Linked DNA regions of Caenorhabditis elegans. The protein of the gene in region 1 interacts with the protein of each later gene in a pairwise test. Each region holds a gene or a part of one and is shown in the gene's direction. Other genes may lie near its edges.

Region 1 (4,646 bases):
GAGAAGCCCACAGAAGCATTTTTCTCGAGAGTTTCCGAATTCGACCTGCTAATTTTTGAAAGCAGTACCTGAATTATTGAAAACTTCTTATTAAGACTTCTAATTTTATTTTGCTATTCAAATTTCATATTTTCTAGAACTTTTCAACTTTTTGTCCGACTGGCTCAGTGGGATTTTGGGTGACTACCAATTTCACCACCTGGGTTCGAGTCCGCGCCTTGGCATATTTTTTTGTTTTAGTGTTATTTGGCTAATATCGACATTCTGAATCCGAATTTCAAGGTCCCATGCCTTAAAACTCAATGGGTTTCCTCCAAAATCAATATTCCATTGCAAAATCGTCCCTCGTCCCATATACTACTAAAATTGAAGTCAGCGTCTCGACTCTGTGCTCCCGAAAACTGAAATATGATCGCTTCGCCGCTTTCGCACGCTCCCCATCTCCCTATACTCTCAGAAATGAGAGGAAAATAAGGGAAGGGGGTAAAATCAACAAATAATATCGATTTTTTGAGAAGGTATAAAAGTTCGAAAAAATCACAAAGCAGTGTGGAAATGTCTAATTTTTGACCGAATTCGAACTCGGAAAGTCGAAATTTAGTAGAATAACACCAAAAAAAAAATTATGCCACATCGCGGACTCGAACCCCGGACCTCAGATTGGTAGCTGGCTAGAATCCCACTGAGCCACTCGTACACAAAAAGAAATTAAGTTTGAGCCGACCTAGCAAGTCTTTCTGGTTTTGAGAGTTGAAAATTCGAATTCAGGAGATTTGTATTATTCTGAGAACAGCAAAACAAAAATTCATGCCACAGTGCGGACTCGAACCCCGGTCGTAAGATTGGTAGCCGGCCAAAATCCCACTGAGCCATTCGGCCAAATTTTCAGAAAAACTTGAAAATTACGGTTTGAGCTGATTTTTCAGCAATTTCGATATATTTTTTTTTTCCAATTTTGAACTTGTTTTAAAGTTGTTCAAGCTATTGGAGACCAAGCTTCGAAGGGATATATATATATCCCCAAAATGTTGAAAATGTTATTACAAATAGTATATAAGTCAGAAATCCGTGTTCAGCAGGGCTTGTATAGTCAAACCAATAAATAAAAAAATTTATGACACAGTGCGGACTCGAACCCCGGTTGTCAGATTGGAAGCCCTCCAAAATCCCACTGAGCCATTCGAGCAAATTTTCAGAAAATCGAGGTTTGAGCTGATTTTTAAAAATTTTGAGCATTTTTTGGGACTGTTCAGCATATGTCTCATGTGTGCTAGGTGCAATGAGCTATTAAAATTTAAGCTTGATAGTTTATTTTCAATAAAAAGTTAAAAATTTGTATGTTAAAAATTCGTGTTCAGCAGGGCTTATATAGTCGAACCAACAAAGAAAAAAAATTATGCCACAGTGCGGAGTCGAACCCCGGTCGTCAGATTGGTAGCCCTCCAAAATCCCACTGAGTCACTCGTACAAAACTTTTTTTTCAAAATTAATTTTTCAGAATCCGAAAATAATGCGATTTTCCACCAAAAGGCGGAGCTCCGAGCAGACAGCCGACTGGCTCAGACATACGGTAGCTCAGGGGTGAGAGCTCCGAGAGCTCAGAGAGCCGGCAGAGAAAACGAGAGCACACACACACACACAAATACATCAGAGTCAGTCTCTCCCTGCTTCTGCGTGCCAGTTGCTCAAATTTTTGCTCAACAATTTCCAAATCTATATATCTGAAATTGTTCGCAATTCCTGAATCAAAAAAAAAATGCTTCCAGATTCTGAGGTGAGTTATATGTCGCTTCAGGGCGCCCCCGGGCGCCCGGTACCCCATCCCAAAAGTATCAAATATCGGCATGGTGATGAAACTGGAGAAAGTTCTGCGAGAAGGGTCTGTCTGTAAGATGAGCTCTTCCAAGACACCCCCCCCCCCCCCCCCCCCCCCCCCTCCATGTACCTCCTTTCCCCATTCAGTACCTAGACAGTTCTAGCTAACCTCTCCTACAATGTTCTCTGTATTTTGTGAGTTTTCTAAACCGTGAACTTTAATTTAAAAAACTCGAAAAATCGATATTTCTAATCTTAAAAATGTTCCTGAATGGCGCAGTGGGTTTTTGGACAGCTTCCGAGCAGAAGCCCGGGGTTCGAGTCCCCGCTGTAGCATTTATTTTTGTTTTTGTGTGGATGAGCTATATAAATGATTCTTGGCTTTAATTTCCTTGTAACCCAGAAAAAAAGCTCTCGGAGCTCAAAACGAGTAGAACTGCGAATTTTAATGGTACGGGGTTGGGGTTTCAGATAAAAATGTAGATTTTTAAGCTGAAATAAACTTTTTTCAGAGCTTTTACTCTTCATTTTTCGCAATTTCGAAAATTTGGTCCAAGTGGCGCAGTGGGATTTCGGATGACTTCCAATCTGACGACCGGGGTTCGAGTCCGCACTGTGGCACAATTTTTTCATTTTACTGTTTCTAGATTAATTTGAGTGCGCTGAGTTCAAATTTCTATCTTTTAAACTTCTAGGTTGAAGTTTTTTAGTAGAAAATTCCGAACTTTGTTGCAACTCGGAAAAATAAACAAATCAATAATTAGCGAAGTTTATAATCCACGTAAACAAATGTCTGGGTCACCTGGTGCTCAATGAGCACACTTATTTTTGATTTTCACTATTTTTCCAAAAAGATACATTTTTAACTAGGAACTTGCTCCGAATCGCCTTTTAAACTGACATTAATCAGAAAAATTATCAAAAATTATGATGTACATCCCTATTGTAAATTTTGGATTTTTTTTTTGGTCAATTTATGCGACTAGTTGATTTTAGGCACCCCTTAGTCTTTTTCCAATACCCAGTTGAGTCTAGATACCCCCTCACGCAACCATATTACATCATTATATAGCCATCATTAGCCAACTTGCAACAGTTGGGGGGACCCCCTGTGGTGACGGGATCGAATTCAGAGGTCTTGGGGCTCTTCGATGCACAATTTCTGTGGCAAAGCAGTAAAAAATCCAAAAATAAAATTTCGAAAATTTGGTGCAAGTGGCTCAGTGGGATTTTGGTGGGCTTCCAAGCAGAAGACCGGGTTCGAGTCCGCGCTGTGGCTTAATTTTTTTTTTTTGGTGTTTTAGACTAATTTGGGTATAGGCATGTCGAAAATTTTAGTCACGAGTCAGAAAATGGCTCAATGAGCATAAGAGATGAGTTTGAAAATTTCCTGGCGCTTATTTTTAAATTTTTAAAACCCTCGTAACTTTAAAACTAGAATAGCAAGAAAAAAGTTTCCAACCACAAAATTGTAGGAAATTTTCCAAGTAATATTTTGCTAGTTGACAACTTTCCTCGAACTATGCTCTCCACCGAGTTATGGTAGAAATCGCAACACCTGTTTGGTGGCGGGGAGCTCTGAGAAAACTCCCGCGGCTCTTTTCTTACCTGTTCGCCGGCGGTCACTTGAAACTAGATACCCTTATACCTTTTTTCCGCACCGGGCTCTTACTAAGTTTTAGGGCTTTTGGGGAACCCTCCGGGATTGATTCAAGTCAAATTTTTTTGGCCGGTTTTTATCAAAATTTTAATTTTTTCACTCATTACTTCACTGCCCCCCGGCCTAGTTATCACCTCCACTACCGTGTATTTGAACAACAGCGACATATGTAAAGCTCCTGTGCTACTGCTCGCCGAGCAAACAAATACAGATGGCATTGTTTGTGAAGCACCCCGTCCGACGCCTTGAAAGTAGTGAGGGAAGAAGAAGCTGAGAGCTGTATGTAAATGGAGTGGTGGCTCGGGTTTCGTCATTATTCCTGAGAACGGAAATTCGCAAGCTTTGGAGGGGTCCTGATGGGGTTCAGAAGTCTGTAAAAGCATTGAAAAAGAAAAAGAAAAAATATATGCCACAGCGGGGGTTCGAACCCGGGCCGTGAGATTGGTAGACGCCGAGAATCCCACTGAGCCATACGGTCAATTTTTTTGAAAATTTTGAAAATCGAGGGTTTTTGTTGGTTTGTAGGCAATTTCTCCAAATTTTGAGCTGGTTTTTAAAATATCCTGGGCTCAGTGAGCATTTCAAGATTTGATAAAAAATTCCCCGGTTTAGTATAAAAACACCTAAATAAAAATATATGCCACAGCGGGGGTTCGAGCCCTGGTTGTAACTTTGGTAGCCGCTGAAAATCGCACAGAGCCATTTGGACAACTTTTCTGAAAATTTTTAAAAATGAGGGATTTTTGCTGATTTTCAATTATTTTGTTAAGTTTTTTTTTTCAGTATATTAGCCTCATTTTTAGGGTATTCTAGGCTTAATGTACATCCGAATCAAGGGTGTCATTTTTCGATTTTTCGATTTTTTTGATTTTTTCGATTTTTCGATTTTTCGATGTTTTTCAGTGAAAATTTACTGTTTTGATTATCCTTCCCTGTGGGGGAACCCTTTTTGAATAGATATTTACAACCTCCTACAACGAAAAGGTTCAAAAATAAAACATTATCAGCTGTTTTGTAAGTTTATTTCAAAAATCGAAAAATTTTTCGATTTTCGATTTTTCGTTTTTTTCGGAAAATCGAAAAACGAAAAATTTTCGATTTTTCGAATTTGAAAAAACGAAAAATCGAAAATTTTTAATTTTTCGATTTTCTGGAAAAATCGAAAAACCGA
Region 2 (6,008 bases), 3.4 Mb from region 1:
TCACAGAAACTCACAAATCTACATATACGCCTTCTGATTAAAGCGACAGCAGAGATGTTTTCTCTCGTGTTGTCTAACATCTCTTTTATTTATTTTTTGCGTGAAAGCTGGAGCTGAGAGAGAAGAAAACGGATTCTTGTTTCGCGCATTCTTTTCGAGAACCCCAACAAACATTTTTTGACGCCAAGAACCCTTGCTAGCTGGAATTCAAGTTCCTGGTAGGCTCCAGATAGGCCTGGTAGGTACGTAGGCACCCCTGCCTGCTGATTATTTTTTTGCATTTAGGCGCGAGCTCTGGTGTTTCCCGTTTATACAGTGTAGGCTTACGCATTTCAATTTGTGTAAATTTTAGCAATTCTAATTTGATAGTAGTCATGTAGAAGGTTGCTTCGAGGCTCACTTTTAAACTTTCCTTTTTAACTTTGAAACAGGTGCCATTTTACAAAAAGTTTAGCTACAAAGGAGCACTTTGAACTAGTTAAAATTAGATCTAAAAAATTCGAAAAAATCAAAATTTTAATTGATAGCGTTGGGTTAAACAATTCTAGAACGTATGCCTTTCCCTAAACATTCTCAAAACCTTTAAAAATCTGCAATGCTATGTAAATCTACTATTTGAGCAATTTTATGTGAGTTCACATCGTGCAGGCTCAAAAACCTATGCCTACCTACGCCTAACTACTGTCAAATTACACATGTATAACTTCAAAAATTTGAAACAATTTTTTTACAATTATCTTTTTCATTCTATATAAATCCGCAGATTTCCTGAAATTCTACTCCACGCTCTCTTACCACCTTTCTATGTTTCTCTATATCTCCACCTCTCCGCCCTTTCCAAAAGCAAGCTCCGCCCCTTTAATGCGCACCGCCCTTCCATCCATCACGTACTTCTTCATTCCTTCTTCTTCTACTTTGATAATATTTCTCCCTGCTCTCATGTTGCTATGGTTTCTTTGTCTCTTCTGTGCTCCGCGAGCTCTCATTGATTTCCTTCGTTTCTATTTTCGACTTTTCATTAAGCTTTTCATTCCTTTATCCATCTTAGTTAGGCTTAAACTTTTAATATTCTTTTGAGCCACCCATGCATGCTTCCAGAAAACTGAAAAATGTGATATTTGATTTAATCTGACATTAATTAAATTTAGCATTTATCTGAAAATTTATCTGAAATGTTTCTCCTGTCATTTTATATCGTTCATTAATTTCAAATGTTTTAAATTGGTTTCTAAATAATTTAATTTTCCTATTTAATTTTCCTATGTATTTCTCATACTTTTATTTCTAGATTTAACTTGTCAATTTTCTTAGTACATTCTTTCTATAACTCACAATCTGAAACAGAACATATTTTAAAGTAATGAATTACTTTTCTTCACTTTACCACTTTTCCCAATAAATTATATTGATGAAAAATTGTCTGAAACAATTTCAAATTTCTACAAAACGGGAAAAGCATTTAAAAAACAATATTTCACGGGGAAAACTACTAATAGAACATTTCTCTACAATCTACATCTATATGAGCAACGCCAAATTTCCAACTATCTCATTATAATCCCCTTGAGATAATATAGTTGGGGAACACCTAATTAAATCTGAAAAGTTCAAAACATCAATTGGAACTGCACTATTTTCATCTAATAGTAGCCTAGAGAGTCCAAGGATCAACTCAACGAACAGTTCAAACTATATATAATCCCATTGAAGACGCAGACAACGAGGCACTCTTGCTGTCTGCGTTTCTCACACTATTAAAGGGTATTAACTTTCTACTTTCATAACTTGCCTAGATACTTATCAATTTTTTTCATGACAGCCTTTTTGGAATTTCCAGTTAATCTTGATTTGCTGTCTTGTTTCTCAGCATTAAATTCTCAATATATTAATTTAAAGCCTGAAATTTTCAGGTAAAAAATGAACACCAGTGAATACCAAAATCCTCCTTCAAAATACTCAACATCAACCCAAACACCCCAGCTACCAAAAGTAGCCCGCATCGTACCAAAATATTCAGTCGTTTGCGAGAATTCACTTGAAGTTGTTCTCTTTGGAACAGATAATGGAGTCTTTGGAAAGTACATCTTCAAGAATAATGAGTTTCTAAAAGCTCCAGATTGCGTTTGCCAATCTTGTTTGCGGGCTGATGACATCAACCTCTTTACTGATTCGGTGGAAGTTCAGGGATTGAGAGCAACTGACAAATTACACAGAGGCATTGATGGACAACGGTTGATGTGTATTGGAATATCATGGATTGGATGTAAGCAGTCAGGAGTTATGGACACATTTGTGAATATACATGGAATAATTGGAAAGTACCGAAAAACACCGGAAGGCTTGATACTGAAAGACGAAAACAAGGCCATTGCGCTTCTACCAAATTTTCCGATTCAGAATACTCAAGCAATTATGGAGAAGGATTTGCTTCTTCTCAACACCAAAATATGCCCTCATGTATCCCAAAAAATCTACTTCTGCAAAACCACAAAATCAGAAAGTGTACACCAAGTCGTTCTCAACAAATTAACCCTCCACTTTGAAATTATCAAATGTTCAGTCTGTACTTATGATAAAAACTTGGAATTGGAGTATTATGACAAGAAGACGAAACTTTATGCGGAAACGGTGAGATGTGAGACGACGGAAAAGTTTGCAATTGTGCGATCAGCTAAAAATGAGAATATTTTTCTGTCGACTTACTGTCCGAAGACACTTGACCTAAAACTCCAAAGCCCAGTTGCAATGGAAGAGAGAAAATTGACAAATTCAGGTTGGTGTTTTGAATACGTTCTTGCATGTTTATTTGATGAATTGCGAATTTTTCATAACTTCGAATTTTATCTTTCAACTCTCTTTTTCTATAGCCTAATAGATATTGGGTTGGAAGTTGGTGGGGCAAGGGTAGTATCAAGGTACTGTCGTGACACGGAGGTGTAATGTAAGATTGTTGTAGGATTACTGTAGTTTTTGAAAAAAAAAGCGAGTTTCAGTCTTTTGAAGATGTGTTAAGTTCTTGTGAAAAAATAATAAAAAATATGAACATTTATCTGCAGTATTTTCCAGTAAATCACAAATTCCAGTCAGTATTTGGTGTACTTTTTAATCATTTCAATAAAATTGAACATTGATTCCAAATAAACCAAATTATTTTTTTATACTTTACGTATGGTATATATGAACTGTACAAAATAACTTTAAAATACGATAATTTCAGAATCAAATAATTGGTACAACACATCAAAAAGTTGCGAGGAGAATATCCTCGAAAAAATGTGCCCAGCCAATGAAAATCACCAAACTCTTGTTGCCACGGAAGGCGCAACTTTTGGCACAATATACTGGATGATGAATGAGAATTATAAAATTGATCCATTCAAAATTGCGCCAACAATTCCTGGAACTGGAACATTTCTCACCATCTTGTCCAGTTTGGACGTTTTTAAAAGCCGGAAAGTGATTGCAAGCAAGTTTACTTTATTCGGTGAGTTTTCGAAGAGTTTCAATTTTTAAAAAACTGAAAAGAATTGCAGAGAACGTGACTCCTAAAGACTTGATCGATCACAGATGTGAGGATTGTGAGAACAACGTGCGTCCTACAGACGCATGGCTTGAGTCTGATAAAGGTAATCAATTGAACTGATCACAATGTAGAGTAGAGTAGAAAATTTGGTTAAGCTAATTGTTTTTCAGTCTACCATAGAAGCCCCGTAGAACTATTAAAAATTTGAGTAAAAATAATTAATTTTCAAATCTAAAAATCTGAACATCTGCTTCAAACATATTCGTTTAGTACTATTTCGATGCAACTAATTTGCTAAATATTTATATTTGTAGCCAATTTCTGAACCAACTGAACATTTTCTGATAAATCTTGAGCAAGAAATTGGCTTCAAAAGTCGCAATGAATATTTTTAAGGAAAACCTACTCTACGCAATCAAATGCATCCGGATTACCACCCGACTTACAAAAAGAATTCCGAATATGAAGATGCACAGGAGGATTTTGATGATATTGAGCTGAAAGTTTTCCAAAAATTGTGTAATATGGAGGACAACTTGTTCAAGCAGATAATCGATTTTGAAAAACCAAAGGAACAGTTTACCGCACCACCACACCCACAAATGACTCACCGTGTTGCCCAACCTCATTATGTTCCAGTGGAATATTTCAATCACACGATATCAGACTTGCTTAGACAAATATCAGGTCTGCAGCATGAGCAAGCTATGCAAAATGGACAAATGCAGCATATGGCCAATGAAATTCGAAGCATTGGAAATGCAGTTTGCAGTCTACACTCATCACAACTACAACAGCCGCCTAACAGTGCCGCAAGCATGTTTCCGTACCCGATTCATCCGATGCCTTCAACCTTTCCACAGCAAGCACCTCATGCTCCAAATGCTCCTCAAATGACAGCCAACTCAATGCAAAGCATCGCAGAGCTCATACTCGCGCAAAGAGGAATCGCACCAAGAAGAGAAAGACGTCTCACAGAAGGTCCTAAAAAGTATAACAGAGTGATCCCACCTTCACCCCGAATTCCAAGTTCAACTGATAAAAAGGAAATGCTGAAAAAATCGAATGATCGGTTTGATAAGCTTAGAGAAGAAGTTTCCGATGTAAGGACACAATTGTCTGGTTTGGAAGGTACGTTGTTTCTGTCAGACATTTTCAACTTTCTAGAGCACCCCGCAAGCTTTTTCTCGCACACTCTCAACCTTCTGTCGCAGAAATTTGTATAAGTATAATCACGTGCAGACGACTATACGATCTCTAAGGGATCCTTGATGCTTTGAGCTTGAAGCTTTTGATCTTCAAACAGGACAGAAATCAAATTTGGAACTATCAAAAGGCATTTAGCGCTCAAAAAATAACGGCGAAAAAAGATTAGAAGCGCGTTAGCTACCAAGAAAATAAGCTCGCCAGAAAAGTATAAGCCCCTATATTTCCAGACACTACTTTCAAAAAGCCGAAAAAGCTGCACTTCCTTGAACCAGACGAAGAATCAGAGAGTGAGAATTGAAATGATAAATCTCAGTTTAATTCTCAAGTTTCAGGCGACGAGAACGGCAATGATGTGGACGAATTTTCAGAAGCTGATGATGATGATGAGGACGTGGATCGAGAAATGAAAGTTCTTGTCGAGTCACTCAAAAACCGCGTTCAATAGTTTTTTACCCCAAAACTCAATCAAACTACTCTCAAAAATTGAAATTCCTATATCTTTTGATTTCAATTGTGCATGTTTTTTCTTATCTTCTTCCTGTGTTCTCATCCCCAATTTTCTGGTTTTCATATGGAAATCTGTGACAAAACGATTCCATATCCTCAATTACACATAGAAACCCCATTTTTACTGTACGTTTCCAGCTACCTTTCCTTTCATAGTATCCTAGTTTCACTTGAATTTCCTGCTTTTTCGTCCTGCTATAAAAAGTTATACAACTGGGAAATAACCCCGGGAAACTAAATTAAACTTATTTAAAGAGTTTATAATCTCTGCTTTTTACTTTTCACTTTTAATTTATTTTTTTTTAAACTAAATTTTCAAGCATTTTTAGCAACTGCAAACCAGCCATGTCCGAGATCGTCGAAGTTCCAGATTCTCCGCCAAGATCTCCGGAAGTCGAGTGCCCATTCAGTGAGGGTGAGGAAAATTTATCTGAAACCCTGATAATTTTTTTTTCAGAAGGTTCCTCCGAAAAGTCGATGGAGACTAGAAAGCGGGTCGCTGAAGAGGCTGAGGGGAAAGAAGGCGACGATGATGGTTAGTATAGTTTGAATATTTAAATTGCAGACAAACTCGGAATGCATTTAAATTTATTAGAACAAACTGGAAATTATTTTTGGTAAATTTTCAAAAAGTTCATCCGTTTAGTTTTTGAGTGATTTCAGTTTTTACCGAAATTTTTCTATGTTGAACTAAAATATACGACATTCTTCTGTTATTTGCAAGACGTCGCCAATGTTTTCGAATTAGTTTTCAATTTATTTTATTGAA
Region 3 (5,310 bases), on another chromosome or scaffold:
AAAATATCCATGACCTCCCTTCTGTTTTTTTTTACAATTATTCTTGCGAAATTGGGGGTGCGAGTTCTTTTATGATTTTAGTTTACCTTTTCTGTGAAATTTCTGCTACATTTTTACATTTTTTAGCACCTGTCGTACATTGAAAGCATTTGATAAGTTCCAGGATGATTGCTAGATTATATTTCCACATAGATTTCTGTTTTCTTCTCTACATTCTGAAACTTACTGCGAACATGCTAGTTTTTGTTTACATTTTACTATCACATATGTATAATAATTGGACCTATGACCGTCATTACCATTTTCCGTAACGGCCTTGCGCCCACCGTAACGCTCTGTTTCGTGCGCAATCACACGAGAATCCGTGAACATTTGTCATATGTTCATTGAGTTAAAAGAGTCCCATTGTTAGTCTAGAGCGTCAAAAATTAACTGCGCTAGTGCCTCTGGATGCCGTGTCGTCGTGTGAGCGCATGTGTGTGCGTGTTTGTGTGTTTGTGTTTTGTTGACGTGGGGGTGCAGTTGGCTATATGTGAGCGTGTGTGTGCGTGTGTGTGAGTGTTCTATGAGTGTGCGCGCGAACGAATGTAGGGGGGTTTTGTGTGCTGCGTGCGTGGCATCCGCCGAGGGGCCCTTTGCCCTGTCCAACGAGTCCTCTTCCTCACCATATTACCCACCCAGTTATTGTTGTGGGTGACGATAAACACTAAGCACCACCACCTGCGTGCGCGTCTTTTCACTTTCATTTGTTCACCTCAGTTTTCAACTTCGTTCCTCCTAATTTTTTTTCAATCAGATAATAGGTTAGAAATTAAAATTATGCACTGACCAAAATAGAAAAGCACTGACCAAAATAGAAAAGCACTGACCAAAATAGAAAAGCACTGACCAAAGTCGAAAAGCACTGACCAAATTAGTAATTGCACTGACCAAATCAGAATGCACTAACCAAATTAGAAATTCCACTGACAGAAATTGAGTCAGGTTTCCTTTTTTTTATCCTTGGGCAAAACTAAAACTTTTTTAGCTCTACTCATTGAATTTCCAACCAAAATTTTGCATGCCAACCGTGCAATTTATACATTGTGCTATTTTTTTCAATGGTACTCTTATATTCCCATTTTTCCACAATTGTAGTTACAAGCAAAAATTAAATCTATAGCTATGATATGAATCTAGCTATCTAGATACCTAGACATTATTTTTCGAGAGCCCCAACGCGATGCATGATTCTTTCAAAGTTTGAATTTCTCATAAAATTCTATGTTTTGAACTAACCATGTTACTTGGAATGCAATCTAGCTTCAAGAATTTGTTTTGATTTTTCCCAACAATTACTAGCAAAGGAAATTCAAAAATTATATAATTTTGTGTAAAATGCTCACAATGTTTTTTTGCGGTAACAAGAGTAGGTTAAAAACAAACAAATAGCTATAACATTTCTCTTTTTTATTTTAATTCAGCAAATCTTTTGATCTAGTTTTGAAATGTGACACCGCCAGCTTCTATTCGTTATAATTTTACTCATAAAATAAATAGTAAAACTGAATGTTGTAAGCACTAAATTATATGTTTTTTTTATTCGGTTTTTCCTACAATTTAAATTTTCAATTATTAACAGGCTCTCAATATTGCACCTATCAGTTGTTTTAAACTCTGACAAATTTTCATGTTAACTTTGTTCAGAAGCTATGCAAAACGATAGATCTCGCTGGAAAACCGAAGGACACTCGAGTGAAGTACATGAGGACTTTCTCAGGAATAGTGTTCAAAGAAGAAATCAATTGGAGAAGGTACATAATGTTTAGAGCGTTTGTATATTCTTATATATAATAATTTTTTACAGATTCTCTTTTCCTACAATAATCTTCATCGTCTGGATCCAAGTTACGGGGAAATCGTTCAAAGAGCTTTTGAATCAAATGATCCTATTGCGCTGTGGAATTTTGAGAATGAGGTTCTGTTGAACTCAAAAGACGTTGATGATCTCATGCAGCAACAGTTCGCCGCTCCCGTCCAAAATAATCAGTGCCCAAATCCTTATCAAAATTGCGGATATCAGAACAATTTGGTGAGCACGTTGGATGCTTCATTTAAGGTTTGTTTTTCAATTTGAAAAGTTTGTTCATGAGATATTGAGAATTTCCAATCTCAGGCAATTTGAAAGCTTATTTCGTTGATAATTTTTTGAAATGGGAATACTAGATTGCAATAAAAATTAAGCGAACGGCGAAACTAAAAGCTGACAATTAAACTTTTAATGATTTTAGAAACTCGTTGATTTAATGGAAAAAATCGGTTTTTTTTTCAATCGAGAGGAGTAAACAAGTTTTAATTTTTAGAAATGTAGTTTTTCACTGTTTAAAAACCCCAAGGCCATAAGAATTTCTTTAAAACTTTGAAACAATTGCAATTTTCAGGTACACCCATTTGCTCAACATGGTAATTACATGCCACCTCCGGCACAGTTTGCATCAAATCCAAACGTCTTTCCGCAACCTGTTCCTCCATACACTATGGATTTGGCAGCGTCGAATTCAGGATTTGCACACCCACAGATTGTAAACCAGCCTATGCATCCACACGTGCCTGTTGGTTCCCAGAATTACAATCCTCCCCAATTTGTGCCAGCTCCACCAACCATGATGCCAGTCGGAGCTGTAATGGTTTCGCAAGGATCGTATTCAATGTCACCACCTCAAATTGATACTTCAAAGCCACCTTCTGGATATGGATTCTCGTCTCCCATCTTTCCATCACCGTCTTACAGTCAATATTCTGGTCCACCTGCCAACGAAGGATTCCCAGACATTATTTATGATAACAATGGAGTTGCATATTGTCGAGTTGTCAGCGCACCTGTATGCGTCGTTTCCATGTCACAATCGGGATCATCAGTATGCTCATCACAATCGTTTTCTTCCGGACAGGTAATAAACAATATTATCGACTACAACAAAAACAACTTAACTGCTGCTTGGGTATGCCAGAATTTGAAAATTTGAACATGACCGCTTTTAGGGAAGTTATATGAAAAATTTAAAAGTTGGGAGATTAACTGGTTTGCATCTAAAACCATTTTAGTAACCCGCTTCTTGTCTGACCATGAATATCAGACACACTCCTAAATTTATGACAACTATCATTAAATGTTCCTGAAAGTGATAATGATCAAATGTTTAAACTTGAACACACTCACGCAGCACTTGACTAATTTATAATGCTATATTACAAAATGGTTTTTTCAGAGCGACATATCTATGTCCAGCAGACCGCCCATCAATGGATCTAGTGTTGGAAATGGTTCGTTATCACCCATGACTGATAGTGTCAGGGAAGAATCGGAAGACGAAGATTATGGAACGTTGACGCCTGTTGGTCAGCAAGATTGCGACTTGGATTCAGTAGACACGGAAAGTGTTGCAAATGAGCCAGAACCTTATAGCAGTACAATGTCTGAAATGCCACCATTAGATGATGTTGATGATATAATGGAGAACCTTGATCTTTCGAAAACACTGATTGAGCCGGAAACTTTGGAACACTCGGATAACATGAGCGTAGTTGAAATCAAATCTGAACCTGTATCTGAAATGACGACTGACTCGTTGATTGTTGATGATGACAGGGATACGTCAATATCTGAAATCATTAAGTATCTGGATACGTCGGATGACGTTTTGGAATCATGGCAGGAGGCGACGGGCAGGAAGAAATGGTGATTTTTTGATATTACTGCTAAAATGATAAATTCTGTAATTTTCAGTTTTGTACCACAGAAAACACAAAAACTCGTCTACCCGCTGCCATTGTCAAAAGTCGAAAAACCATTGCAAAAATGTCAGCAGACTTTGGCCGCTTCCACCATTGACGAGGATAGCAAAGAAGCATCAACTATTGCTCTACCCGACGCCAGGAAAAAGTTGACAAAAAAAGAAAAGCGCCTTATGGCTGCACAGAAGGCAAATCAATTGGAAACTGATGACGATGTACTGGAAGCAGCATATCGAGAAAGACAGAAGCATGTGGAGCAAGCTGGTGGTGACTACTCAAGCTCAGGACAGAAAGACCAAAGTGAGATTCATCATCGCCATTTGGTACTAATATTTTCAATTTCAGAAAAGAAGCGAGGAAAAAGACCCGTCTCGAATCCACCGCCATCGTTGATCAGTCCCCAAATCCTGCATGCAGTTCAAATGGCAATTGCTAACAGAGCAAAGAAGATTTCAGAATCGGGTCGTCCAATTTTTCACGAAAATTTCTCATATCAAAAATTCTATGAAACGGTGGATACTTTTGTGAAAACTTGGGAAGAAAATTCGAATGAAATGAACAAAGTGTTACAGTTTATTGAAAAACGCATTTTGGCATTCAAAATGGTGAGTTTTAATGAATTTTGGTACTTTTAAGTGTCTCAAACTGACTATTTACAGGTTCAACGTCCGCAAAGTCTCTCGCGTATTACAATCTACGAGCAACTTCAGCTGAACTTGCCGCCAGCTATTCTTCCGGAACTATGCTTTTTGGCCGGTCTCACCAGCGATTCTACTGACAAATTAGAGTATTACGAAGAAATTTTCTTCAACCTTTTCTAGATTCCGTTATTGTTTGTACACATTGTACCCAGTGATCAGATGTTTTAACTGTGATTAACCATGACCATTCAGTTGTATTTTTCAGTCCATTTAATTACGTGTCATTGTCTTCAATTTTAATTTATTGACTTTATGGGTAAATCAATTTATGTATTGAGATTTTTAGAATAAAAATGTCTAGTCTTGTATTTCTTCATCTTTTCAGAGGCTCTAACCAGTTTCAAACTTCTACCAATTTTAAATTCAAGTTTAGAAAGGGTTGAATAACTCAAGAGACGCGTTTTTGACTTCACAAACAAATTAGGCAAACTGGACAGACGGACATTATTATTTTGTTGATTATTTATTATTACCTCAAACATTTAATTCCCAAAATCAAAATCAAAATCAAAAAATCAAAAGAGATCGTGCTTAAGTGAAACTAGATGAAGAAGTTAAATATAGCTATTTTTGTCTACGAAATATTTTTGAAATTGAAACATTTTATCCAATCTGTATGTTTTGAAATTAGGCTGACGAAATCTTTTGAAAAAAAAAAACGCTATCGAAGAGGATACAACTTTTGCTCATTTTTTCCTTATGGCTTACAACAAATTGAAAAATTAAAGCAATAAATCTAAATTGATAGCCCCCTTAATCTATTTTTCAATCAATCCGTACACATTTCGGCAGCGTTATGCTCACCGTCATCACATTCATCGGGTCTTGTCAACGT
Region 4 (5,245 bases), on another chromosome or scaffold:
CAACAATAGATATTATTGTTCCTTATAATTCATCAAACAATATTAATCAGCATTTTGCATTTGTTTGAAAGTACCAAATTTTGTAAAAGCCTTGAATAGGGATGGCAAACCGAGCGCCCTGTTTTTCAAAAGTAATTTCTCGAGTTTTAATTTGGTTTTAAAAAAACGATGTTCAGATATTGGAACAAGCCGAAACTATCGAATCAGCTAAAAAACAGGCAACGAATACGACAAGTATCCGTAAAACCAAACTCCGTAGTTATTCCGATGCGCCGGCTATAGTTCTGCTCACCTCTGAAGCAAATTCATTGGGCAGATTGATGGTATAACTAAATTTTAAAAAAGCTAAATAAATTAAAATGTTCAAAAATGATTCGTCAGTTGACATTTTTTGATAATAGATACATCAGAAAACATATTATACAAGTTAATACTGCATGAATTGAAATGTAAAAAAAGAGTTTACAATGGGAATGTAGCATAAGTACCACCCACAGTCAACTGCGAATTTACGACAAAAAATAAAGTTACAAAAGTTTAGAAAAAACAATGTAATTATCAGTTTATCTGATATCCCGTATTTTTATATCTTGGTTCACTTTGGTTTTATCAAAAATTTGTCAACTGACAAAATACTTGTCACAATTTTTTCTACATTTTACCAGTAAAATTTGTTTTAACTAAAACCAAAGAAAACCGAAATATAAACTGTCAAAATAAAACAATGGGGATGTAATTTTATTAGGTAAAATATGGTGACAATAAATAGCCAATATCAAATCTACAAAAGAGGAATAGTTGATGTACACTACTAATGAAAGCAAATGGTATAAAGAATACGCCTCTTTGCATTATTGACCGACTACCGTATGCTCGTCAATCAATGTTTTGCTAGGAGAAAAGAGCACGTCAGTTCAATTGTTGAGGACTGTAGAAATTGGTGACAGATGTGATGAAAAACGAGAACATGATTATCAATTGGATTACGTGGGTACTTTTTTAATTGAAGTCACTAACTATAAATAAAACACTTGGAATTTCTTTTAGCCGGCTTTCTCGAAGTTCATATGTTGATAAATATAAAAATAGAGTTTCAATATTTCTATTTGCTCTAAATTCTTCAAAACTACCGAAAAATTAATTATTACCCAATTAAATACTATAAAAAATTAATTTCTTAATGAGACCTCTTGAAACCTTCCTGCAATTTTTTTTGACGGTTCAAAACTTTTCAATTTTCCCAGTTGGTCCGTGTCGCAGCGGTTAAATTAAGTGGGTGCAAGAAAGGTAATAAAATTTGTGCACACTTAGCCATTATAAAAAAACAACAAAAACTCAAAATAAATAACCAAAATAAGCAAGATATAGAATTAATTGTATAAAAGATAATTTCCGGTCACTGTCAACAAGCTGTGAAAATTAGAAATTATAGCTAAAACCTATTTTATTGCAGTCCACTTGAACTTTAAAAATGATTAAAACTTTGTGAAATTTTGAAGAATTCGTATAAAAATTCGGTCTTATGAGATCAGTTTAAGTTTTGTAGTGAAAAAAATACATTTCAGTTCTCCAAGTAACACTGTTTTATTTCTTCTAACTATACGAGCAAGTTTCAAGTTCATTTACGCCCACAAAAATTTCAAAACTATTCTCCCAAAAATGTGTATCTTATTATTCACTACAGTAATCTGAGCCCATGTTTCTTTCAAAATGTTCATCCCCTCATTCCACGACAAAACGAGAATGTTTAGCTATTAACTGGCTGCTTAAAAATTCAAAAGTCTCAATGAAAGGAAAGGTAATCTGAGACTGCACTTTGTTTCCATATTTCTTCTTCTTCTTTTCAGCTCTTCTTATTTTTTCAAACTTCAGCCTCTTCGTCATTTCGTTCCGGTCTCAGCCATACTGTCAGGAGTCAGTCCGGAAATCATCATCCAATTAATATCTGCAGAGGCCCATCCTCACCTCCTAACAACGTGAGGGCTCCTATTTCAAACGAGAAGCTACTCGAATTCGACACTTTTATTCTCGCCTATAATTAATCCTCAACACAAATTTCCCTCCCACCACCTCATCCCAAAAGAGCTCTACAGGTGCCTCCCCCTCTTGGACTGTTGTACCGTACCCCTCAACACAATATTGCTCGATTAGCCCCGCCCATTTGGTCTTCTAGGAACGTTTGCAAGATGAGTAGTATTCCACCTTATTTCATGACAGACCATCCGCCAATTGACACTTCTTCATATTTCGATTGTTATCAACAACATCAGCTGCCACTTCAATATACATTCACTTCATCTTCAAATTCAAACACCTCTAACTCTTCAACATCGCCTTCTCACATCTCGGATCAATTTTCATCATCTGGAGGTCCGCCCTACGAGCTTTCGTCTCATATTCTGACACCGTCTTCTGTAATTCCGACTCCTTCTCCGTCGGTGGCATCTGCTTCAATCAGCTCACCGACTATTCCAGCTTTTGGGTGCACAATGTCCGAATATTCAATGGAACAGGTTGGTTGTGGTATTAAATTTTTAGCGAGGGAAATCAAATATCAGAACTTGAAAAAAAGGTTTCTACTCGAAGTCTAACTATTTCGAAATGTCACAGTTTAGTGCTGGAAACCTGGCTCTGGACGATACGGTGTTTTTTTCAGGTGTTTTTTGACAGTTTCCATGATAGTTGACTTGTTGTAATAACTGGAAGCTGTGTTTTGTTAATAAAAAAGTCTAGAACGTGGAATGAATTCTCGAAAAAGTACCACTTGAAAAACAAAACTTCCGGGTTGCCAGCCATATCACAAGCCGACTTGTTCGCTTTTAATGTTCTCAAAATTTTCGTTGAATTTGAAAGTTTAGTGTTTCACAAATTTTTTTGGTGATAGATGTGTATACCTAACAGGCTTACCGCAAATTTCACAAAGTCAAAAATACATTCAAAAACTTGTGAAATCTTAAATATTCATAACTGTCTCAAAGTAACTTTTTTTAAAAACATGTTCAACATGCACATAGATCAACTGTAGTTTTTATGATTCTTGAGTTTCATCTAAAAACTCAAATTTATTCCCAACAATTTTAGATGGAAGCAATCTCCACATCCCTGTTTCAAGCTAGAGATGGTGATCGATTGGTAGCATTCTTCAAGCAGTTGGAGTCATTGTACGGACCAAATGCAGTAGATCATTTGCGAAGTGAAGCTATCATCGTAGGTATGTTTGATTAGATAGTGATATTTTTGAAAATACTTTGTTCCGCAAGTATCTGATATAGAACTTTACAAAGACTCATTTCTTCAAACTGATCCATTTTTTGCTATAAGAAATTTCTAAAAAATATCCTATAGCAGAAAAAGTTGCTCCCGTAATCCTTCCGACTTGAAAAACTGCGGTAATATCTGCTGTCAACACTCTCACTATTGCTATGTATTTTAGTTCTTCTATATCAATAACGCAATTTCCTCGATTTTGAATAATACCTCATTCGATTGCGTTATATCCTGCTCTTCTCAAATTCCAAACCATTTATTGCGTTGACTCTTTTTAGTACCCGCCATTCCATCTAACCCTATTCTCCAATTTCAGCCTACACATATGCCTTATATCATTCCAATGAATTCGAGACACTCTTCCACCTTCTCTCGAATCGACATTTTCAACAGCGTCATTACAATGATCTACAAGATATTTGGCATCATGCAAGGTACAAGGAAAGTCAGCTGAAACGTGGCAAAGAACTGAATCCAGTGGAAAAATATCGGCTGAGACGAAAGTTTCCGGCTCCGAAAACAATTTGGGATGGTGAGGAGATTGTGTACAGTTTCAAGGATTCGAGTAGGAAATTTTTGAAACAATTTTTCCGCAACGTCTCTGAATATCCGACCCAGGAGCAGAAAAGAGAGATTTCAAGAGCAACAGGACTCAAAATTGTACAGGTTTGTGAGAAAAATATTAACTTCAAAATTGCTTATTTAGTCAGTAAATTAAGGAGAAGTTAGTAGAATCCCTGGGTAAAACTTTTCACATTTTAACTGACTATGTACAGTACTTATTACCAGCTGCCAAGTCGTAAACGCTTGCGTGCTATCCTTGTCTGAGTTGAGTTTGCTTATATTTTTCCAACAATGATTGTAAAAAGGAATGCGTGAAAAGACAGTTGCCGACTAGTCGCAACTGAGCAGACGGCTTCTCCGAAAGAATTTGTTTATAAGATCTGCAAGGTCAAATTGTAAGGATCATAAATTATCTGTTTCATTTTATTGTCAAATTTCGAGTAGAAGATTAGTGTGATTACAAGGATTCTATGGTAGAACAAACTAAAATAGGATCTGAAAAAGCCGGAGCGTAAATTAGTACATGGTAAAGTAATCTCGAACAAATTTCAATTTTATTTTTCAGATTTCAAATTGGTTCAAAAACCGTCGCCAACGGGACAAATCGAACAATTCAGCCAAATGCTCCCCACCTTCCAGCTCGAGCAGCACTAATGGTGGCAGTGACTTTCTTCCAATAATAACTCCGCAAAGCTTTAACTTGGCAGCTGCTCCATTCAATATGAACATGATCTATGGTACATTACGTGACAGTCAGTCTGATAATGATCAATTCACTTTCAATCCGTAATTTTTTTTAAAATAAAAGTAAAGTATTTACCCATTGTATATTTGAAATGCTTTAAAAGTGCAAAAAGAATAAACTGTTATTTTTAGAAGTTTGCCAGGCTATAATTTTTTTTTTGATATTTAAATCTGAATTCAAGAATCTGGAAAAATATCAGAATTTCAAGGTTTCTTGCAAGGTTTTTTGAAACACTGAAAAAATAAAAACAAATTTATTGAAACAAAAAACCGTAGCACATATTGCGGACATAAATAAATAGAGACAAAATGCAAGATCACAAATAACCCCGAAACAAAATATATTAGAACTTCGTAGATGTCGGATATTGGCATACTATATAATCTATCCAGTAAGTGAAGTGCTCAAAATCTCCTTCGCCTCCTTCTTCACAATTCGACACCGAATCCTTCGTTCCAGCCATCTGAAACACCTCAAAATCGGAGGATTTTTTAGAATCTCGGAGCTCAATGATACACTCACTTTTCGAATCGAACTTTGCCGAAATAGGCCAATGTGTTGGTTGCCGAGTTGAGAATGACAAGGAAGTCTGAGATTCGCGTGACTTTTGTCATGAATGGGCCGAAGTTTATACTGTTTTCAATGAGAACCTCGTAGAGATCAATCAAT

Evidence for each region.
Region 2: the proteins of eya-1 (region 1) and C35E7.2 interact in a two-hybrid assay, tested with the Caenorhabditis elegans proteins (2 studies listed by BioGRID).
Region 3: the proteins of eya-1 (region 1) and C02F12.8 interact in binary tests that used the Caenorhabditis elegans proteins (3 or more experiments, as listed by UniProt).
Region 4: the proteins of eya-1 (region 1) and unc-39 interact in binary tests that used the Caenorhabditis elegans proteins (3 or more experiments, as listed by UniProt).

What each region holds. Positions count from the first base shown.
Region 1 is NC_003279.8:14,228,353-14,232,998, reverse strand, and holds the start of eya-1 (Protein phosphatase eya-1), read left to right. Parts: upstream 1-1,638; 5' UTR 1,639-1,756; coding exon 1,757-1,774; intron 1,775-1,968; exon of another isoform or gene 1,969-2,010; intron 2,011-3,897; exon of another isoform or gene 3,898-3,967; intron 3,968-4,646. UniProt on the Caenorhabditis elegans protein: Tyrosine protein phosphatase. Acts probably as a transcription regulator in the embryonic and postembryonic development of several tissues including pharynx, vulva and gonads. Required for the development of anterior tissues during late embryogenesis.
Region 2 is NC_003279.8:10,839,204-10,845,211, forward strand, and holds C35E7.2 (Reverse transcriptase domain-containing protein), read left to right. Parts: upstream 1-1,894; 5' UTR 1,895-1,917; coding exon 1,918-2,773; intron 2,774-2,974; exon of another isoform or gene 2,975-3,217; coding exon 3,218-3,484; intron 3,485-3,533; coding exon 3,534-3,626; intron 3,627-3,919; coding exon 3,920-4,654; intron 4,655-4,959; coding exon 4,960-5,019; intron 5,020-5,064; coding exon 5,065-5,177; 3' UTR 5,178-5,463; downstream 5,464-6,008. Other genes in the region: C35E7.11 (Glutamic acid-rich protein-like), read left to right, coding at 5,585-5,654, 5,697-5,774.
Region 3 is NC_003284.9:3,689,615-3,694,924, reverse strand, and holds C02F12.8 (uncharacterized protein), read left to right. Parts: upstream 1-1,686; 5' UTR 1,687-1,691; coding exon 1,692-1,793; intron 1,794-1,846; coding exon 1,847-2,098; intron 2,099-2,420; coding exon 2,421-2,930; intron 2,931-3,248; coding exon 3,249-3,718; intron 3,719-3,766; coding exon 3,767-4,074; intron 4,075-4,119; coding exon 4,120-4,379; intron 4,380-4,433; coding exon 4,434-4,595; 3' UTR 4,596-4,782; downstream 4,783-5,310.
Region 4 is NC_003283.11:14,371,179-14,376,423, forward strand, and holds unc-39 (Homeobox protein unc-39), read left to right. Parts: upstream 1-1,895; 5' UTR 1,896-2,210; coding exon 2,211-2,513; intron 2,514-3,081; coding exon 3,082-3,211; intron 3,212-3,583; coding exon 3,584-3,933; intron 3,934-4,289; exon of another isoform or gene 4,290-4,310; intron 4,311-4,396; coding exon 4,397-4,621; 3' UTR 4,622-4,703; downstream 4,704-5,245. Other genes in the region: npr-43 (G-protein coupled receptors family 1 profile domain-containing protein), read right to left, coding at 4,961-5,048, 5,099-5,245. UniProt on the Caenorhabditis elegans protein: Probable transcription factor required for differentiation and migration of neuronal cells, such as RID and CAN neurons. Specifically, plays a role in the terminal differentiation of RID peptidergic neurons. Also required for CAN neuron axon guidance.